Notamacropus eugenii: one gene and its partners. The protein of the gene in region 3 interacts with the protein of the main gene of each other region in a pairwise test. Links are inferred from orthologs where the notes say so. Each region holds a gene or a part of one and is shown on either strand. Other genes may lie near its edges. The genes, in order: KCTD6, ZBTB33 and CTNND1.

Region 1 (7,343 bases), on a different chromosome or scaffold from region 3:
CAAGAATAAATTTCCAACATCTGCACATACCTTCAAAATTACCTCTGTACTCAGTTTCTCAGTTATAGAACCATGTGGGAGTTTAAAAGTAGAATACTTTTTATAGCAACTAGTTCAGAGAAATCTAAAGAGTCCTTCAGGTTAACATACAAGCTAGCACAGGCAGCCACTGCATCTTGGGGTGGGGGGGAATGTTTTTATATTTATAACAATAGGAACTGGCTTGTGATTTCATTGGTATAAGGAACTCCCAGGTGTGGACACTCCCTCCCCTCATGAAGTTCAGTCCCTTCTCTGTACCTTAGTGTCAGAGAGCTATCGTGGCACAAGGCTAGGTGAAGGGACATCCACGTGGCAGTGACAGCTCTCGAGCCAAAGTCCTTCTGGCTGTGAGACCTGCTGACCATCCACTCACTACTATGCTGCCCCACAGAAAGCATGCTTCAAAGCTTACAAACATGACCTTGGGATCTTGGCCATAGCCTCGAAAGGCAGGCAGGTACACTGGTAGCATCACCTGCATTTTTACTGAGGCTCCAAGAGTTGAGGTGACCCTGAGTCACACCCTAGAGCTATGGGACATGGGTCTGGAGTCCTTGCAGTCTCTCCTGGTTCCAAGCCACAGGGGAGCTGTTAGACAGTACTGTGAAGATGGCACTATTCTTAAAATCTTTTTTCTTTAGCCATTCATCACCACAGTGCAGTCTAGCAGAACAGGCTAGTTCCAGCATCACTAACTTGATGGGTGAGAGGAAATTAATTCCCAGCACTGAGGCACCTCTATTTCTCTGATGATAAAATAGGAATACAACCTTTCCTCCCCGCTGCACATGGATATTAGGGGAATACATTTTGGAAACAGGATGATTTCCTTCCTTTTCAGTTCTGTATATGAAAATGATGATTAAATGGTTGGGGGGAGGGGAGTGAGTAAGAAGTTTGTTTCTGTTTTTAAGTACCATATCATCTTTATCATCTTTCCATGTAGTACATAACTTCACTACATGAAATTTCTGTAATACGCTGAAGGCCTGAGTTAAGAGAGGGACCACAGAGCTCTCTAGCTAACAGACCAGGAGTAAGGGACTGCAGCGCTGCCTCTGTTTTCCCCATCCGGGCTCTTCTAAGGGGCTGCAAGGTCCCCCAGAGGGACCTCCAGATGGTAGCCTCATCAGAATTGGGGGGGCCCCACTAGCCCAAAGTATATACTGTTCAGGAAGACTGCTATGGCAAAAGTGGTTCCACAAAAGAAGTCCGAAGCCAAGCAAACCCTAAGTGTGAAAAATCCAGATAAAAGAAGATGATGACTGTCCTCCCCAGATTCCTTTAAATTGCAAGTTCTTGTACAATTACAATGTGATTATATTTACACAAAACTTCGCAGAAGCAGTACCTAGTACTGGTTGGTGCCCAATCGTGGATGCCTTGGTCTTACTGCATAATACAAATACCTGTATGGATTATTAGCTAGCCCAAGAACAATTTTCTCAGCTATGCTAAAAGGAACAAGGCCTTCTCCCCAAATAAAAGGCTGCTTTCCTTTAGCTATACACTCATTCATTCATTCATTCATTTAAAACACCCAGCCTTTACTTCTTGATAACCTACTGCTCACTGGGTTTTTTTTCTATTTTGGGCATTTGTGATAGAAAATTAGTATCTCTGAAAAAGGGAAGATCAATAAGGGCAGCCATGAGGCACTTAATTAATGTTTCATGACACCATGAAGCCTCGCTGGCAATAGGCGGTCCAAGCCTACTTGCTGCATTAGTGACTACACAAAATGCTGGACAGAGTTCTCATCCCCACCCTTAATCCAGCTCAGGGCTGCCTAGCTTGTCACCCCAATCTTAAGGAGAATGCAGTCTTTTAAACCACTCAGAACTTCTCTCAAGGCTCTCACCGAGGTGCCAACAGAGATCAGCACCCAGGAGGGTGGGTCTCTTCATCCTGCGAGACTCTGGGTCCAGGGGCACCACAGATCCTCCACCAGGATCTAGCACCCCCCTGAAGGCCCTCCCCTGGGCCCCTGCCTTTTGTGGGCACCGGTGCTGCCCTGGGGCCACCCTGGGGGGGCCCCACTCTCACCATACAAAGTTCTACACCCCCAAGATCATGGACATCCTACATAAAGGGCAGCTGGCACCGATGCCAGCCACAACGACTGTCCTGCCATGGCCCGGGGGCCAGCGGGGCTCGGACCCGGGCTGCCGGCCTCCCTCGGGGCCCCGCTCCTCGTGTCCGTGCCCAGCTCCCTGCCTCATTTTCCATCCTCTGGTACCCAGAATGTTAAAGAAGACGCGCAAGTGCTGGATAAAAGGCCGGCGGCCGGCCGGCCGGACGTCTGCACGTCTGGTCAGGATGCACAGCGTCCTGAGGGAGAGATCCGGACCGGCCACGGCCCGGGGAGCCTCGGGGCCTCGGACCGGACCGGCTGCGGCACCGGCCGCCGGGTCCCACGGCCCGGCCCGCCCAGGCCGGGATGGGGGGGACCCGCCCCGCATCCCGCCCCGCATCCCGCCCCGCATCCCGCCCCCCCCGCCGGCCGACCCCCGCCTGCTCCGGGGCGCTCCCCCCCGGGGGTCTCCTGCCCCCGCTCCTCCACAAGCCCCCTCCTCTGGGGAGCTCGCCTGCCGGGGAATCTCCTTCCCCCCCCGCCCCTCGACGTGCCCCCCCGGGGTCTCCTGCCCCCCGCTCCTGCCGGGGTCTCCCCGGCACGTCCCTGCACGCCTCCAGGGGAGGGGGCGCATCCTCGTGGCCCCCCGCTGAGGGGCCCCTCCCCTGAGCCCAGACCCCCTCCAACTTTCCTGGGGGGAGGGCAGGGGTCCTCCGAGGCCCCCCTGCTTGCCCAGGTCGTAGGAGGGGGGTCCCCAGCCCCCTGCCGCACTCACCGCCGCAGTCGAGGCCAGGCCGGGCCGGGGCGGGAGGGAGGCGGGCCGGGCCGGGCCGGGCCGGGGACACAGCGCCGCCGCTCCCGCTCCCGCCGCTCCCGCCGCTCCCGCTGCTCCCGCCGCCGCCGCCGCCGCCGCCGCCTCCAGCCGAGCGAGCTGCCGCCGAGCGAGCGCGGGCGCGGGGTTCGCGGGGGCGCGCGGGCGCGGCACGGGCAGGGCGGGCGCGCTCCCGCGGGGGCGGCGAGGCTCAGCCGGGCCTGACGGGAGCGCGCGGGCGAGAGCGAGCGGGAGGGCGGGGAGGAGCGGCGGCCGCCTGCGCTCGGCTGCCCCCTGGCGGATCCTGGCGGCGCCGCAGCCCTCCCCGCCGCCGCCGCTCCCCTCCTCCAGCACCAGACCCAGGAGCCGGGAGCCAGCCCGGCTGGGAGACAGCGGTGGGGGCGGGGCCTGGAACTGGCCGTGGGAGCTCCCTGTGTGTGTGTGTACATGTGTGTGTGTGTGTGTACATGTGTGTGTACATGTGTGTACTGTGCACGCGTGTGTGTGTGCAGGGGGTGCGGGTGTGTGTGCAGGGGGTGCGGGTGTGTGTGCAGGGGGTGCGCGTGCGGGTGTGTGTGCAGGGGGTGCGGGTGTGTGTGCAGGGGGTGCGCGTGCGGGTGTGTGTGCAGGGGGTGCGCGTGTGAACGGGGGTATCCGGGTAGGCTCATCCCCGTGCTGCAGCAGCCCCCCTCCGCCTCCTGCCCCCGCACTGCCCAGCGCACGCACCCCCACTCACGCCGCAGGCTCCCCGCACCCCGCGTTCCTGGCCCTTCTCCCCAAGCCCCAGGCGGGCGGGGGCCGCGCTGCCCAGTGGTCAGGATCGCAGCTCTCGCCAACGGGCTGCGATGGAGCCTCGGGCGGCACCCGCTAGTGCAGGGCTCAGCCGAGTGGGAGAAGACCACCGACCCCGAGTCCCAGCCTGCCCGCCCTCCGTAGGACCTTGGCGGAGTCACTGCCGCGCTCCAAAGAGCGCTCGGGACTGGGCAGCCTGTAATCTAGGGCTCTATACCGTCGGGGGAACCTCTCTATCCCCACCCACCGACCCCTGCCAGAGGGTGCCCTCCAGCCCGGCATAGAGCCTCAGCCCCAGGGGAGCCTCAGCCCCTGCTTGACGGGTTGACCTGGGGTTACACCTTAGAGGTTTAGCCCGAGCCCAGATGTGACAGCTGAGCAGACTGCCAAGAGGAGGCCCCAGGAAGCCCCTGCCTCCCGCGGGGGCGGGGGGGGGGGGGGTTCCCGGGCTCCCAACAGCAGCACTTATAATGGCATTTCAGCTGCATTAATAGGTAGAGTATGTAGAAGGCTGAACCAGGTCTGCAAGACCTGAGATCAAATCCTGCCTCGGACAACAGCTGGCTTTGTGACCCTGGGCTGGCAGCTCACGAAACTTTGCTTGACTCAGTTTCCTTATCTGTAAAATGGGGCTAATAAGAGCACCTACCTCCCAGGGTAGTGGTGAGGACCTTATGAGATAACGTCTGTCAAGTGCTTCGGTAAGCTGGTCGCGCTGAACTAATGTAATTGGTTATGATTCTGGGCAAGGCCGGCCCAGAAGCTCTTTTTTCTCAGAAGATGCCCGCAGTACCAAATGCTCCCACCTCCTCACTGGCAGACGGCTAGATCTTCTCTAATAAATACCCAGAATATGGGGGAGAAGCTGTGCCCGGGCCTCCTCTCTTGGTCAGAAATGCTTAAAATATTCTGTAACACTCATTTCAGTTCAACAATCTCATGCCCCCAGACTTAACCCTCTCAGCTCTGAAATTCCCACCATCAAAGTTTACTTCATGGAGTGAAGAAATAAGGAGAAATGATTCATTGGATAGAAGCCAGTATATTCATGCACCAGGCTATGTCCAGGCGGACCCCAGAAAGGTTTCCAGTCCACCCCACCAACCCTTGCTGCCCTGCCTCCACCCACCTCCCAGCTCTGAAAATCTACCCATTTGTCCTCACTCCTGAAAAGGACCCATCAGTCTCTTCCCCCTAGACTCCCATCCTCATCCCTGTGCCTTCCCAAAGTCCACCCTGGTTTCCCCTCCTCCTGTGGCTTCCTCCCTCCCTATTGGAAGAGCAGGCCCCCTGCTATTTGTACCCTCAGCCCTGAGCAAAGGCTTAGCGGGTCCTGCTAAGAGATAAGGAAGGGACTCGTGATGTTACTGATGGAGAATGGCTCCCACTACCATGGCAGGTTGAGGTAAGTCGACAAGCATGTGTAAGTCACCTACTATGTGCCAGGCACTGTGCTAAGTATTGGGCATACAAAGAAAGGGCAAAAGATAGTCCTCCAAGAGCTCACAGTCTTAATGGGGGAAGAAACCTGTAAATAAATGTGCACAAACTATGTGTATGTGTATACATACATACAAAAACACATGCACACAGATGTATAGGTGTTGAGTAAATAAGCAGTTACTGGGGAAATCCAGAATCTTTTCCTTTTTCCTATTTCAAAGTCCAGACTTTCAAAGAGACCTCTGACCTTGCCCCAAAAATTATACCTCTAGACCATCTTCTTTAGGTGGAAATGTTGCCCCACCCAACTAGAAAACCTTACAAAGAAAGTGGAATCTGGGTGAAATCCAGATTATTGTGTTCCTCCGGCAGGTCTGTGTGATCAGTCATGTCCCCCAGCCCCTCATTAGAATAGGTCCACCTCTCATTATCATGTTCATTATTGTTAACCAATCAGAGTTGATTGCTGCCTGCCAGGAACACCCATTCTTCCAAAGGCATATAAGTGTCCAGAAGCCACCAGAGGTCTTTGGCATTCAAGAGTGCCACTCACCCCTTTTATTAATTATCTACTAGCAATAATTAATAAAATGAGCAATTACCCAGAAACTATGTCTTTAGAATTTTTTATATATCACAGTATGTATTCATGCACACAAATATCCATAGGTGTGCATGCATGCACACAAATATACACTTGTATACATATGTACACAAGTATGTGCATGCACACAAATATAGACTTGTGTGTATTCATGCAAGTATATATACATGCATAATTATATGCATTGCAAATAGCCATTTGTGCATATACATGCCTACACGTATACATGCATTCATGGGTACATATGCATAAGAGCACATTGGTGACATTCACTGCATGGATGTCAATGGAGCATGCTGGCTGCCTATGAGCTCTCCCTCATGGGTAACCAACCCAGCCATTGTAAATGTCACCAATTTCACCGATGACGTCCTTTACAGAAGACTCTCCTTCCTGATTATACTATCCAGCCATGCTCACTGCCACCATGGACCTTTTTATCACCCTGTGGGTGAACTTTGCCTACATTTCTCCAGAGACTGTAATCGTTTCTTTTGGCCTAGAAAGCACAGTGAAAAAAATCAGAGAAAACAACTTGGTCTCCCGGGCAGAAGAAAGAAGCTTCCTACTAATTCAAGACAGAGAAGAACAGGTTATTCAGGGAGAGACTGAGCCCTCCCTCCCTGCAGATCTACAAGCAAAGGCTGGCAGATTACTTGGAAGCTATGTTGAGGTCATTCTCTTTCAAGCACAACGAGACTATGTGGCCCCTTGGGTCCTTCCTGACCCTGACACTCTGAGGTCCACAGGACATCCCTTCAAGCACCCGAGGTCAATAATCATGTGAGCGCTATTTCTGCTCCTCTCCAGACTAAACATTCCCAGTTTTTCCAATGTATTCTCATGTGATAAGGACTCGAGACCCATCACAGTCCTAATTTGGACACCCTTTGGTGTCAGTTTCATTAGAATCCTTCCTAAACTGTGGTGTCCAGAAATGAACACAATATTCCCAATGGTGTCTGACCAGGGCAGAGAACAGTGATTTCCTTATTCCTGGAAGCAATGACATAGATCCAAGGTTGTTAGAGTGTGGTGCGGTGACCCCTAACCCTTTCAGGAGGCCAGAGATTCTACTTCTGGAGGAGTCAGAAGGATGTGTAGTGCAAGGGCCATGTAGAGACTTGAACATGCTTAGTCACTCTGTGACTGGTTCTGGTCTGCTAACCACATGATTAGGAAGAATCTTTCCAATTGGCCTCATAGCTAGGACTAAGGAAATCTTCAAAAAGGCCTGAGTCAGCTTTGGTCCAAGCTCTTCACCTCATCCCCTTTAGTTGAACTCCTTGGATCATGATGAGAGACAGGTTCTGCTATAAGCAGAGGAGAGACCTTGGGTCTTTTAGTCAAAGTCACATGGTTCTGAGAACAGGCTTCAGTCCTTGGCTTATGCATTTGGTCCGTTCCTTCTCAGGTGAAGGGATTAGAGCCTGGAACCTTGTCGGCATCACATGATCTAGACTGGAGCATCTGAGCTTCCCACAATCTGAGTCTTGTAGCCAGCTCAGCATCCATACTCAGAGGAGTCAACTTGGGGAGTGACCTTCAGGACTGAGCCCCAAAACAGCTAAAATGCA
Region 2 (8,026 bases), on a different chromosome or scaffold from region 3:
TCTCCTCGCAGCAAGTCATACAGCGGGTACAGATCACCATCGGGAATAGGGATAACTGCCCGCATCCACTGTATAGCGCCAATCAGCTTTTGAAAATCATTGAGAGTGGAGGGCTGAGAGAGATCAATGCTCGGAGGACGGCGAGCAATTCGCCCTTGTTTTAGTTCATAACCAAGATACTGAAAAGGGGGTGTGGTCTGTACTTTGTCTGGAGCCACAGTCAGCCCGTGGGCAGCTAAGGTATCAATCATAAGCTGAGTAAGGGCCATTGTGGAATCATGGCTAGGCGTAGCAACAAGAATGTCATCCATATAATGAATGATAATGGCCTTGGGGAAGCGCTGTCTAAGTGGAGAGAGGATAGCATGGACATACATTTGGCACATGGTAGGGCTATTTGCCATCCCTTGAGGGAGCACGGTAAAATGATACCGTTCATATGGTTGCTGGCGATTTTCCGAAGGGATGGAAAAGGCAAATTTGATCCTATCTTGTGGGTGTAGGGGAATGCTATAGAAACAATCTTTGATATCAATGATTGTCATAGTAAAATCTCGGGGGATCGCAGCAGGAGTGGGGAGACCGGGCTGTAGTGCCCCCATAGGCAGCATGCATTTGTTAATCTCTCTAATGTCTATGAGCATGCGCCAGGATCCAATTTTCTTCTTTATAACAAAAACAGGAGAATTATAAGGGCTCGTGGTGGGCTCAATGCGGTCCTGTTTCAAAAGGGAGGCCACTATGGAACGTAAGGCGGTGAGCTTTTGGGGGGATAGGGGCCACTGTTCAACCCACACAGGGGTCTCAGTTTTCCATGTTATAGGCGGGCTGCTCACCATTATGGTGGCCCCAGCATGTTTAACTGAAGGTGTTCTGGAGTGGTAAGGTGTAACCCAAGTTGCTGGAGGAGGTCGCGCCCCCAAAGGGCGTAAGCAAGACCGGCCAATTTTAAGGGTCTAAAATATCCCTGATAATCCTCAAAGGTCCAACTCAAATGTTTAGCAGCCCGTAGCGCTGAACTAGCACCCCCTACTCCAGCAACCGGGGTAGCACCGCCGCTCACCGCCCAACTGGGGTCCCATTGGGATGCATTAATAACTGACACATCTGCTCCAGTATTGAGCAGACCCATGATTGGACGCCCTTCAACCAGAATCTGTATCATGGGGCGATTGCCTACAATGGGAGAGCACCAATTAATTTGATGGGTGTTCTGCTCAGGCTCTTCAATCCAAGGCAGGGAGATGCCCCTCCCAACGGGAGTCCCTGGGGCAATATTTATAGGATAACAATGCGGATTAGTCAAATAAATCGTGGAGGACCCGCTGGACAACAATTGAGTATGGACTATGAATGGCACATAGCCGGAGGGTCCCACCACCAAGCGGGGAAAGGGAGTGGGGGGCACATCAATCCCTTCAGTATGCCAAGGCCTTATAACTAAATCAGTGTCTGAGGGATCCGTGGCAGATGTGCATACTAAGGTTGTAATTTTTGAAGGGCTTGTTGGTACTGCTCACGAAATCAGTAGGGGACTCGCTAGCCCTCTGCTTTAACCCTACCAACTTATCCCTCATAGTCCCTGGGGCGTCAATCTTGGCAAAGCCCCTAATATGACAATACTGTACTGCAGCCATCACCTGGGGGTCGAATTGGAGCTGGTCAACAAGCTGCGAGTATGGCCCCGCCCCTGTTATCATATTCACAGCATCCTCTGTCCCTGCAATATTGTGTTCCTTGACATATCTGAGCGCCTCTCGTCTAACGGCAGTGCCATAGGCCACTACCTGCCCTGGTGTAAGAATAGCCCCCGATACCTCCCTCCAATCAGCTGGGGCCCATGGCCAAGTGGCTGTGGCATTTGCAAGGAGATGTTTCACATAAGGTGACAAAGGGCCGTATTTGGAGACGGCCTCCTTCAGTTCTTTCAATAATTTGAAGGGCACCGGTCGATGTAAACGGTTCTCATTTCCCATCAGATCCCGCTCCACTATGACAGGGTAAGCGCCTGCCCCCTCCCACTCCTCTAAATCTACCTCCTGTCCCTCCGCCAAAGCTGCGGATAGGCTCTGAGTGAGTACGCTCAGAGGCTCCGAGGGCCCAGACCGCCCGTAGGTAAATGACCGCGATCCTTGTGATGATTGTGACAAGGACATGGCGGCTGGGGGGAAGGAGAAGGCATTAGGTCCGATCTCAGAAGGATTGGGAGTTCCTAAACTCTGTTGAAACTTCTTGCGAATTCCTCTGCCCTCTTTTGTTGTTCCAGGGACTTTCCATTCTTTCTTAAGGGTTCCTTCTGACGAGCCCTTTGTCTCGGGGACTTTCCAGGGGACTTTCCACTCCCTCTTGGGCGTTCCTTCCTCATCAAACTTCCCTTTTGTTCCTCCCCTCGGGGCTCTAGAGTCCCGCCCCTTGCTCAGCCGTGCGCCGTCTTGAAGGGCGCGGTCCTGGTCCCTGCCTGCACATTCTCTTAACATACCCCATAGATATAAGGGCTGGGGCTCAGTATTATCCTCATCGGATTCCCCTTCTTCTTCTGTCGTCCCTTGAAGGGACTGCCCTGTTTGGGTCTCGCCGTTGGACCACCCGGGGGGACGGGGATCCGAACGCAGAAGCGTGGCGACCACTTGAAAGAACGTAAAGTCCTCCTCTGTTAGTACGCCAGGGCTCTCTTTCTCATAGGCGACCATCTGCTGTCCCACTACGCCCCATTTGGCTGGGTGTAGCCCACAATATTCTAACCAAGGGGAAACATCCCAGATCTTTTCCACAAATGCTCTACAGTCCCGGATGTGGGGCTTAAGCCCATGGGTCTTACAAAGCTTATACAACTGACAGGCAAGCACTCCCTTATCTTCGGGCTTCAGGTTGGGAAAACTATTTCCCTGGCCCATCCTGGCCACTTCCCAATACTGAGACTGCCTGAATCTTCCCGCAGTAGCGGGTCAAGGCCACTTCTCAATACTGAGGCTGCCTGAATCTTCCCGCAGTAGCGGGGCAAAGGCGGATTCTCCTCTCCTTACGGCGGTCCCACGTCGGGCGCCAGCTGCCCGGGGTTTACACCCGGGCCTTTGCCTCTCCAATTACCGATACCTGGTCTTCGGACGTCTCCGGCCCCTCTCCCGGTTGGGGGAGGGCAATAAACAGGCAGAGCACCCGAAAGGAGTTGCAGTCAGCAAGCTTTATTGCATTTCTTCCCCTTCTCCTTCTCCTTCTAAGCCCTTGTGATCATCCCCTTTTATTATCCCTGTCTCCTCCCCTGTACCTCCCATGGGCGGGCGAGCTCCTCCCAAGTGCCTCCCTGCGGGTGGAGCCAGCCTGTTACCAGGGCCATCCCAGTACCCCACAAGGGGGCAGGTTCGGACCCTCAGGCGTCTCACGGTCCTCACGGGGGACCCTGGTCCAGAGCTGTCCCCCAACACTTCTAGTTGGAACTAGGTGTTTTTAGGAAATTTTTTTTAGTCAATCAACAAGCAAGGTGCTTAATGGGCTGCTAGGTGGCGCTGCACTAAATAGAGAGCCAGGAAGATTCAGGTTCTTGAGTTCAAATCTGGTTTCAGACACTTCCTAGCTGTGTGACCCTGGGCAAATCACTTCACCCTGTTTGCCTCAGTTTCCTCATCTGTAAAATGAACAGGAGAAGGAAAAGCAACATCTTTACCAAGAAAACACTAAATAGGGTCACTGAAGAGTCCTTCACAACTGAAAACGACTGAGCAATAACAATGGTGCTTAATCCTTGGCATTGTGCCAATAACTGAGGCTACAAAGACAAAAGACAGCCCCTGCTCTCAAGGAGCTCACGGTCTAATGGAGATGACACCCATCTAAAACCATGTAAACTGAATTTAGAACCAGACCTTCAAAATCGCTGTTATCCGAAAGTATTAAACCAAGATTTTTAGAAATAATAAAGCAATCACGTGGCTGTCAGTAACATCATCACCAATCATTATTACGAACAATAATAAGAGATGTTTTAGGGAGGGCCAAGAGGTTTTTTCCCCCCATTTCTTTATGGTGTTTATGAAGATATTTAAAATATAACCTACAGCATCTTTTCTTTGTTGTATGTTTTATAATGCACAGTTATTTCTAAATATACCAAATAAAGCACTTCTTCAAAAATAAAATAAACTTTTAAAAAGGCAAAATTGATATAGTGTGGGAATGCATGCCTAACTTTTTTTTTTTTTTTTAATGACTGCACCATTCAAAAAGTTTATGACCAGTGCACCCCTAGCTCTCGCTGAACTCTAAGGAGACCCGGTTGCTTTCTAGTTGGTGCTTCCCGCCCGTAGGGAAGGAGCTGCAAGTAGCAAAAGGCGCGCTCCCCCCCCCCACCCCCCGCCCCGTCCCCGCTGAGGAGCTGAGCGGCCCCGCCCTTGCGGAAAGCGGGGAGCCGGGAGCGAACATTTCCCTCCCTTTCGGAAGGAGGGAAAAGGAGCCCACGGCTCCCCGCCCTCTGGCCCGGCCCAGTCTCAGGAAAGAGGGAACGGCTCCCTCCAGTTGGGCGGGGGCTGAGCCCACCCCTCTCCAGCGCCCTCCCCCTCTTTCCGAGAGTAGCCGAAGGGAGCCGAGCGTTCCCACTCCATCCCGGAAGGGGCCGCCGGGAGCGCCCCCCTCACCCCGCCCCGGAAGGAGCCCCTGAGAGCCTGGCGCCCCCCCTCGCCGAAGCCGCCCTCGCCCCAGGAGCACCAGGCACAAGCGCCCCGAGTCTGCGGAGAAGGTCGGCCCGGCGGGAAGCGCTTCCGGAAGGAGAGCCGGCCGCCAGCGTGAGCCCGCGGAAGGAGGCAGCCATTGGCTCCCGGGGCCCCCGGCGCCCCGCGCACACCGCCCCCTGCCGGCTCTCGGAGCGGCAGCAGCACAGGCGAGGCTGGCTCCGGCGGCGGCGGAGGCGAAGGTAGCGGCGGTGGAGGCGGCAGCGGCGGCGGCGGCAGCTCCCGAGCCCGAGCAGCAGGCGGAGGGCTGGCAGCGGGGCTTCGGCCTTCCCGTGGCACGAGAGGACGAGGAGCCGGAGCCAAGCGGCAGCAGCGGCGGCGGCAGCAGCGGCGGCGGCGGACGCGGAGCCCGCGGCCCTTGGGGACCAGGTGAGGAAGGGCTGAGCTGAGAGGGGCTCGCCCGCCCGGGCTGGGCCGGTGGCCCCTCGCACAAACCAGGAAGCGACAGCTCTGCGCCTCGGGATTTTCCTTTGTGCGGGGAGGGGGGTGCTCCTCCCGCCCGGAGCCGGGGCGGGGGGCCTCGGGGAGGGGAGGGGGTTGCTGTGTGCCGGACGCGGCTGCCGGATGGACAGGTTTCTCTGCGCCTAGGCCCGGGGCCAGACAAGAGGGAGCCTTCCGACTGTGGCTCCTTCTTTCTCCCGCTTCCCCCTGGCGTAATCCGCGCTTCTTCCCCCCCTCCCCCCTTTCCCCTCCCCTGCTCGCCCCTTCGGGCCACTTCCCGGGCCGTAACAATGCCGCCTGCTTTCCTGTCTCCCTCCCTCCCTCTCTCAATCACCAGCAATCTGCTCTCCCTCGACCACTCTTTCCACTCTATTCACTAGCTTGTACTTTTCTCTATATGTGCCTGATCTTGGATCCCTCCCCCAGCCCTCGGTCCCCCCTAACCTCCCCCCACCCCATGTCCCCCACCTTGCACCGGTAGCTGGTGTGAGACTTTTCCTCCAGAAGGAAAACGCAGGTTGCAAACCCTGCTTTCAACCTACTGGCCTCAGAGGGTAGGGGATGGAGGGGTGGTGGGGGTGGGAGAGCAGGTGGAGGAAGGGAGACAGGTTTCAGCTGCTGCAGTGATCTCCTGTATTTGATTCCCCATATCTAATCCTGTGTTATTTCCTCTCTACACCCCCTCCTCCATCACCTCTGCTTTCCCCCCCTCCCCCCCCAGCGAGAAGGTTGGTTACAAAATGGTTGTGCGGCAGGGATTTTCCACAAAGTCTGCTTGTAGATCCTCAATTTCTCAACCCAAGAAAAACAAACAAATGGAACTCCACCAACTTGCTGGGTTTCCCGTAAATGTCAATTTTCCTTGTTTCCAGTTTAGTAGGACCCCTTTGTGAACCACAGGAAGTCGCAGGGCCTTTTTCGGAAATCCTGCCTACTAAAAAACTGACTACTGTGTTGAAATTCCCACATTTAGGAATCTGAGATTGTTGGCATAAAGCCCAGAAGTCACTCTTTTTCATCTTCTGGATGCCTTTATGTTACTCTGAAACTTTTGGATGTTGGATTAACAAGAAATACTCTACAAAGTAATATCTGTGCCATTTCAGACATGCCAACATTCTGGTGATTTTTGAAAAACTGCACCTTACATCACGTGAATGTTGCTTTAGAACTCTGACGGGAAAGAATATTCATGATGCTAACATTTTTTTCCCTCACAAACCAGTATGATTTATTGATGGTGTTTATCCTGATCTTAGTATATTAATAATTACTAATATTATTATTATAAAAATCTTCAAGTTTTCAAAATGTTTTTGCTGACTAGATATGTCAAGTATAGATGAAGATTTTACTATTTATTGTCTTTGGCCAGACTTTACTCCCTGTTTCTGGGAGATTTTCTGAATTGCCTTCTCATTTCTGCATTTAAAAGTTACAACTTTGATATAGTGGTAGAGAACAAGTCACTCCATGCTTGCATGGTGTGTTCGTTATATTATTTTCTTAGGATTGTAGAATTTATTGACCATCTTGTCCAGAAGTTCCCAAACTTATTTGACCTACTGCCCCCTTTAAAAAAAAAATTACTCAGTGCCCTCTGTAAATCTACTTTCTTTAACCCTTTAACAGTTTTTTAAAAAAATTGTTTCATTTTTTTTGTTTTATTTATATATTTTTAGATTTCGACATTCATTTCCACAAAATTTGGAGTTCCAATTTTTCTCCCCATCTCATCCCTCCCCCCACCCCATAACACCTTGCATTCTGATTACCCCTTCCCTCAATGTACCCTCCCTTCTATCACACCCCACCCTTCCCTTATCCCTCTTCTCTCTTTTCTTGTATGGGGTAAGATAAATTTCTGTACCCCATTACGTGTATTTCTTATTTCCCAGTTATATAAATTCTCAACATTTGTTTCTAATACTTTGAATTCCACCTTCTTTCCCTTCCTCCCTCCCCACCCATCCTTATTGAGAAGGCAAGCAATTCAATACAGGCTATATGTGTGTCATTTTGCAAAAGACTTCCATAATAGTCATGTTGTGTAAGACTAACTATATTTCCCTCCATCTACCCTGTTCCCCCTTTATTCTGTTCTCTCATTTGACCTTCACCCTTCCCTAAAGTGTTTACTTCTAATTACTCCCTTCCCCCATTTACCCTCCCTTCTATCATCCCTCTCACCCCACTTGTCCCCTTCTCCCCTCCTTCCCTGTAGTGTAACATAGATTTTCATACCAGATTGAGTGAGCATGTTATTCCCTCCTTAAGCCAAATGTGATGAGAGTAAGATTCACTTTTTCCCTCTCACCTCCTCCCTTTTCTCCTCCATTGGAAAACATTTTTCTTATCTCTTTTATGAGTTATAAATTGCCCCATTCCATTTCTCCCTTTCTCCTCCCAATATATTCCTCTCTCATCCCTTAATTATATCTCATCCTTTCTGATTCAATTCAACCTGAGCTCTCTCTCTGTATCTGTATGTGTCTATGTGTGTGTGTGTATAATCCTTCCAACTACCCAAATACTGAGAAAAGTCTCAACAGTTACAAATATTATCTTTCCATGTAGGAATGTAAACAGTTCAGCTTTAGAAAGTTCTTTATGTTTTCTCTTTACTGTTTACCCTTTCATGCTTCTCTTGATTCTTATGTTTGAAAGACAGATTTTCTCTTCAGTTCTGGTTTTTTCATCAAGAATGCTGGAAAGTCCTCTATTTCATTGAATGACTATTTTTTCCTCTGAAATATTATACTCAGTTTTGCTGGGTAGGTGATTCTTGGTTTTAATTCTAGTTCCTTTGACTTCTGAAATATCATATTCCAAGCCTTGTGGCCCCTTGATGTAGAAGCTGCCAG
Region 3 (7,064 bases):
TTTGATGAAATAAGCAGGAATATTGTGTACTTTAAACCAATATGGAAAAGTAAAATGAGGACCTTGAACAAGATGAAAACATTGTGCCATTTACTAGGGTTTGTTTGTTTTTTTTAAACTACCCCCTAGAAATGGCAGCAGTCTTGGCCTGGGAAATGGAAGTAAAAGGGGAACCTGCTACCAGAAGAAGGATATAATGATTTCTTCAGGGCAACACAAAGTCTCTTAATGAGCCCGTAGAGGTCCATTTCTTTCCATCTATTCTATCTTCTCTTTTGAAAGACTAGTTACATTCACAAGACTGTCACCTACATCTCTTCAGGGAATAGGACAACCAGGTTTTAATTTTAACTACTTGGAACTGGTAGTAGAAACTCTAAATTCCATGTCAGATAAAGGCAAATTTTATAATTCCATTTCTCTATGGCCTAAGAAAATACAATTATGGGATTTACCCCCAATTCAGTTCCAACACTGCTAGAAAAAATAGAAGCCTGACAATACCCTGCCTTCTAGGAGATTTCACAAGAACAAAGGTCACTGGATCACTTATCAAATGGACCATTAATACAAAGGTGAAAACAAAACATAAAAATATGCCTACTTAGCCTACCGCTCAAACTGGAGGGCATTCCCCTCACTTCCAAAAGAGGAACCCGACGGTACCCTTCTCTGGAGTTCCAAACCTCCTACAATTCTTGAATATAGGAGACAGAAGACAAGTCTGCTTCCTCATCTAAAACAGGCCAATGACAACATCTAGAGCTGCCTCCACTAACTCTGGACCAGAGATTTCTTAATCTGGGGTCCATGGACCAAAGAATATATTTCAAGGCGGGGGGAGGGGGGTCTCTGGGGGAAAAGTTCTGTTTTTACTAATGTCTAACTAAAATTGGCATTTCCTTCAATTATTAATTTTTAAAATTATGCTGAGGAAGTCAATAGGCTTTATCAGATTGCCAAAGGGGTCCCATAGCACAAAAAATGTTAAGAACCTCTATTCCAGATACTTACTTGGATCCTACCATCACTGTGCGGTGTCCATCCACCAATCACCACTACCCAGTCTTCAAAAGCCTATTTTCCATTTTCAAAATGTCTTTGTAATCTTTCTCAACAGATACCCACTTAAAGGTTTAGAGGGATAATGGGTCAACTAGCAATTCTGATCAGTCATCCAAAAATGTATTTAGAACCTCAGGCTGAAGCCAAGGCAGAAAAAGGGAGATGAATAGCGTCCAAATTCTTCTAGCCCTATTCAAATAAAGACACAGTCGAAAGGGCTGAATCAATCATCTCCTAGGATATTCCCCATAAATGTGCCATCCTTTCTTTTTAAATTTAGACTGCAGAGTCAAGGAAGAAAGAATTGATAAGGCTTATAGGAACCACTCCACTTTGGTCCTGGCATAAAGAAGAAATTCCATTTTATTTTGAAACCCCTAAAGCAAGTAACTCCCTCAACACTCCAGTTTTGCATGCAAAAACATTTTCAGGGAAGTTTTCTAATTAAAAAGGGAAGGAAATAAACATACATGGAACTTTTAAAGGTATGATAGTTTAGGTACTAAAGGCCACTAAATTAAGGCCCATCTTGTTGCAATTAGGTCAAGAATATAATTGCATGTATAGTTTTTAGAGTAGCTCTGATTGTTAAAAGGGCAAAGGGAGAAGAGGAAGTCTAAGTCTTTAGCTAATGATCTGACTACATGATCATCTAAAATTTTGTTGAAGTACATATAAAAAAGTACTTCACAAATAAAAAAGATTTAAAACAAGGGAGGGGAAAGTCAGTGGCCTACAATGCTACGAAAGTTCTGATCTTTTAGGAAATCAACTAAAAATCTACTCACCTACAAAACTAAACTTCAGTTTTTTAAAAATATTTTTCCTCTTAAAATTCATCAAATGAATTGGAAATTCAAGTGTGTAACAGTTTTCTGTTCACCTTGTCTAACCTCTCATTTCTAAATAAATAAAAAGCTAAGATCATTTCTAAACTATTTTTCTCCTTCACTCAAGTAAACTAAAAGACCTCCTAATTCCAAAACTCTCGTAACAGTTTTTGCAGATTTTCGGAAGTAGGGGTGAAAGTCTTATCAACTTAAGGTAGTTTTAAGAAAAGGGAAATGTAGTCCATGAGAATCCATTTGTTTTCTTTTAAAAGGCAAGGCAGCAGGGCCAGTACAAGAGAAAGAGGCTCCCACCCACTGCACCTGGAAAAGTAAAAAAACGGGATCCACCCAGGAACATGAGGCTGAAACAGAGTACGGGAGTTTAATCACACTCTTGGGTGGGGAGCGGGGGGAGAGGAGTGGGAAGCCACTACCACAGCTTAAGCTGCAAATCTCCTTGCAACTTTCCACGTCCACAAACAGGGCAAAAAGTAAAATAAGTTTTAAAACATATGAAAAGCCATCTACGAAACCAGCTTTCGACCTGAAGACAAATTCCTGTCTCAACCCACACAATACACCAAAACCCAACTTTGAGAATTTTGTTACCAAAGGTTATGTAAATATGTTCACTTAGACCTAGAAAGCAATGAACAGTCAGAAAGTACACCAGCAGACAAATTCACAGGACTGCTCTTACCCCTCAGGAGCTGCTCAACTAGCTCCCAGCGCTGGAGACCCAGAAGTTTTTCCTTCTCCTTGCTGTTTTGCTTTGAAAAATAAAATTAAAAGTAGCAAAAATTGAGAGGAAAAAAATGTTTTAAAATTAGCCAGCCTAGCTGAATTTCTCCCAAACATCCAGCACCTTTTGAAAATCCCTCTAGTTAGCAAAAATTAAAAATTCAACTAGATAGCCTATCATTCCCCTCCTCTGGACACATTACACAGACACAGACACACACCTCGTTTGCAGACTTCTAAAAAACAATCCTTTACAAAAAGGAACCCCAATCCTTGCCAGTACTGCCGAAAAAGACAAGGACAATAGTGTATTAATTTTTCTCCACCTCTTTCTCCTTTACGGCTCGTTCCTCTTCTTTCTTTCCTTCTCTCCCTCTTCTTTTTTTTTCTTTCCTCTCAGATCCAACACCTAAAATGGAAGTTGCACCCAGCCAAAGGCAAGGGAGGCTGGGTGGTGACAAACTGGTCTGCCAGCCCTACCCCCTCGCTTTCCTAAGTGATGTCAGCCTTTGAGCACTTCCAATAGAAACCTGGCATAAATCAGGGAGCTGACCTTATCCAATAGGAAACTTTATTATAGGAATTAGAAAAAAAAAAAAAAAAAGAGAGAGACAGAAAAAGACACAGAACTTTTAAAAATACATATGCATATATATAATATGTATATCTACATGTATATTGCAAAAGCAAAGGATATACAATCCTAGAGGAAGTATGGCAAGGGCTGAGCCTGAATGGAAAAAAAGTGTTTAGTTTTTTGAGTTTTTAAAAAAATCATTGCATAGAAAAAAGCTTAAGCTATTTCCTGAGTTCTCTTTGAGGATGGGACTGTTGAGGATTTTGCGTATGTCTCCTCAAACCCTTTCCCCCTGCTTTCAGATTGTAGGGGATGTCCAGGCATCTGTCAATAAATAATAATAAATAAATAAGCTGTCGATTTATATATCGATTTTTTTTTTGTTATTAACTATGGGGGAGGGAGAAAGAATGAGACTGTACTTAATCCATTTATGGGGAGACTGGGAGGGGTCTTCTTTGAGGTAAATCTCAATTCCATTGTTTTAATTTTTTAAAATTGAAACTGATTCCTGGGCTGAATAGTTTCTTTAGTATAATCGGTCTTTGTTCTTCCAATCAAAAAATGTGTGAACCATACAGAATATAGAAGGACAAGTGATGTAGACTAAAAAACTACCCAGATAAATCAACTGAGAAAATCTCAGAAAGATAACAGTATATGTTTTTTGGAACTGTTGGCAGAGTTGGCCTCATGATTGCTAGTTTATCTCACACTGGACTACACAAAAAACTGTTTACATTCCTTTTTTTTTTAAACATATTGATATGTCTAGCATAAATGACGCTCTTAAAATGTCAGGTCCTAAAGGGCAGGGGTTGTTAAGTTTCTGGTATAGAATCCAGCACACAGAATTTAATATTCACTGAATATTAAGTTATGTGAGTTGAAAACTTCCTTTTCATTCTGAAAGGAAAAAAAAATCCCAATATCTGCGAACAATAACTGACAATTTCAGATTAATTCTACTTTCAATACAGGTTTTCTCGTCAGATTTCTCCCCACCCGGTAAAATCTTTTAGCAGCACCCTAGGGGACAAAGTGCATTACCGTGGGCCCAGCCCTTCACAATCTCACCCCACCCTACCTGCCCAAGTTTATCTCATAGATCCCAGGCAAGAACCCGCCCTGCCAGGAAGGTTAATCTTGTCACTATTCCTAGAACAGCCCCTCAATCATTTCGGCTCCCACGGCTAGACTGGATATTTCCCTAAACTAATTTTTTCTTCCTTCTTCTCAGACACTCTAAATCCCAACCATCTGTCAAGAACCAATTCAAGAGTTAGGCCCCACCTCTTTCACAAAGCATTCCTAACTATGCCATATTGCTCTTTGAACCCTGTATAATAGAACCAACACACGAATATTAAACCTAGTCCCATAGTGTGAAATGCCTGGGCCTAAGATTTTTTTTACAGGAATGGGGAAAAAAGCATGACAGAAAGGAATGACGACTTGGATAGGTTTGAAAAGAACAGTATGAGGATTTCGTTAGATAAAGGAACATAGGACTGAGAGCTAAGGAGACCTTAGAGATCATTCTAGGGCACTTTTATTTTATGAAAGAGAAAATTGAAGCTAAGTTAGTAAAGTGAAGTGAACTGCTCAAGGTCACAAATTCTTTAAGTGACAGAGCATCCTTAAAATCCAGATTCTTAAGATTCCCAAACTAATACTTCTGGTTGTCTCCTGAGAAAGAAATGTACAAATCTAAAACATAGTGAAATGGCAATCGATAAACAGCATTAAGAATTGATAATCACAATACATTGCACATAATAAGCAATAAATGTTACTTGAATGATTCACTGATATCCTACTAGACCAAGACGGCTGCCTGGAGAAAACAGAAAATATTTAAAGGAAAACAGGATATGACACCGTATATTACTGTACTTAAAAAACTGCTTCAGATTAGCTCAGATAGAAGAGGTCACATGAACTGAGGGCTGTCTCATGAAAGTGCATAACAAAGAAATCTGTTTAAAAGTGGCTTTATTTGAAATTTCCAAGTTAATCTGCAGAGAATGAAGAGGACATTCATGAATTTGTAAATAACATTAAAATAAAGACACATAACAGATCACCAAATAAACACGGTAACAAAAAAATTTAATTAAATGTATCTAACCTGCACTTCTAAATAAAGATTGCTAAGCACTGAGTGGAAACCACCTCTATATTAAATTAGAAAAGAATGAGGGGTGGGAGGCTGCTTCATAATATCTTCTATTTCTTCATCTATATACATGTTTTATTCCCCCAAAAGAATGTAAACTCTTTTTTCTTTTGGTCTTTTAGACCAGGTTCATCGCATATAGCAGGTGCCTAATATCTGCTGAACTGGATTAAATACAAAAAGAATCAAAGTTGTATTACGAGCACATACAAATTCTCTGCTTGAGTCTTAAAAATACACAGAATATATTTTTCATTCAACTTCAAAACTCTCTAAGGCTTACAGAACCATCACCAACAGGTACACAGAATGATGATTTAAATTGGTGAAGTAAAGATTAGGAAGAAATTTTAAAAGTAGAGAAAGGACTGATAAAAATAAAATAAAACAAATAAAATAAAATCACCATCTATTCATCTGCATATAAACAACTATACTATATTAGCCAACTCTGGAAATCTACATTAAAGAGATTAATAGCAAGAAGTAGAGATTAACAAACATTCAATCTGAAGAAAGCATTGGATAAATACATACACACAAAAAATGCCCTTTTGGTTACTAGATATCACCTAAAACGTATGATTTTTGAGATCCTGAGAAGGGCTATGATGTGCCATTTCCTTTAAAAATTCTGCTGACCCGGGATGAAACTGTAGTTATGCTAGCTAGGATAAAAGTATAAAAGATGACTGTTATAATTCTTGGTACTTCGCTTTGCCCTCATAGTAACGTTTCCAAGAAGATAAAGCAAAGATAATCTTAATCTTTGTTCAAATTTCAACCCTATCTCGTCACTGGAATGCCACTGTCTGAATCATCTAGGGATACTACAGTGAGACATTATAAACATTTAGGGTTCTGTCTTATGTCTGTTTTTTCCTGCTGGCTCCATCTAAATCCATCCTCCTTCTGTTCTATTTCCTCTCAATTTTCCTGCTTCCTCAAAAAAAAACCAAACTCTTCTCAGATTGATATTCTCAATTTGGAGAAATTTTTGAAAATATTGATTACACAATGGAAGAGACTTTAGAGATCATCTAGTCCAACGGTGTTAAACTCGAGCAGGATCCCTGTGGGGTGTATATTGATTTTGAAAACCACAAATTAACATTATATTGTACTGTATTTTTATTTTTTTTAAACATTTCCTTTTTATCTGGAGCACTTAGAGGCCATAAGGTTACTAACTTCCTTTTACAAATGAGGAAACTGAGGCCTAGACAAAGCAAGGTGTCTAAGGTTATAAGATTCAAATATAGATAAGTCATAAAAGAGCAGTAATCACAGCAATTAAATCAATATTACCATTCCTCAGAGCACCTGCCAGTCATCAGAAAACCCCTCTGGGGCCACACAGTCCTCTGTGTGTACTGTCTTCTTCTATCGACTCTTGGAGGACCGAGAGCTTGCTCGCTTATATATATTTTACATTTATATATATTTATATTTTAATTTTATATTTATATCTCCAGCACTTAGCAGCAAGTACTTCCTTTTTTAAAAATTTAATTAAAATTCCAATTCAAGCAAGCTGCCTCCCATTCTAATTCCTTTTCTATTTCCACCTTGTTCCCTTTTCCATTCTGCCCTACATACTCACCCTGGTGCTTTGATCTCTGGACATCTCCCTTTTCTATCAGCAGTCCTCCTCCAGTGAAGCCGCACCCCT

What was found.
Region 1: the proteins of CTNND1 (region 3) and KCTD6 interact in binary tests that used the Homo sapiens proteins (3 or more experiments, as listed by UniProt). The two-hybrid records come from large-scale screens. The link is inferred for Notamacropus eugenii from reciprocal best matches to the Homo sapiens genes CTNND1 and KCTD6.
Region 2: the proteins of CTNND1 (region 3) and ZBTB33 interact in binary tests that used the Homo sapiens proteins (3 or more experiments, as listed by UniProt). The link is inferred for Notamacropus eugenii from reciprocal best matches to the Homo sapiens genes CTNND1 and ZBTB33.

The regions. Positions count from the first base shown.
Region 1 is NC_092874.1:466,814,892-466,822,234, forward strand, and holds the start of KCTD6 (BTB/POZ domain-containing protein KCTD6), read right to left. Parts: upstream 3,007-7,343; 5' UTR 2,892-3,006; intron 1-2,891. UniProt on the Homo sapiens protein: Probable substrate-specific adapter of a BCR (BTB-CUL3-RBX1) E3 ubiquitin-protein ligase complex mediating the ubiquitination and subsequent proteasomal degradation of target proteins.
Region 2 is NC_092879.1:43,638,478-43,646,503, forward strand, and holds the start of ZBTB33 (transcriptional regulator Kaiso), read left to right. Parts: upstream 1-4,960; 5' UTR 4,961-5,090; intron 5,091-8,026. UniProt on the Homo sapiens protein: Transcriptional regulator with bimodal DNA-binding specificity.
Region 3 is NC_092873.1:3,342,026-3,349,089, reverse strand, and holds the start of CTNND1 (catenin delta-1), read right to left. Parts: upstream 3,091-7,064; 5' UTR 2,963-3,090; exon of another isoform or gene 2,858-2,962; intron 2,666-2,857; exon of another isoform or gene 2,596-2,665; intron 1-2,595. UniProt on the Homo sapiens protein: Key regulator of cell-cell adhesion that associates with and regulates the cell adhesion properties of both C-, E- and N-cadherins, being critical for their surface stability.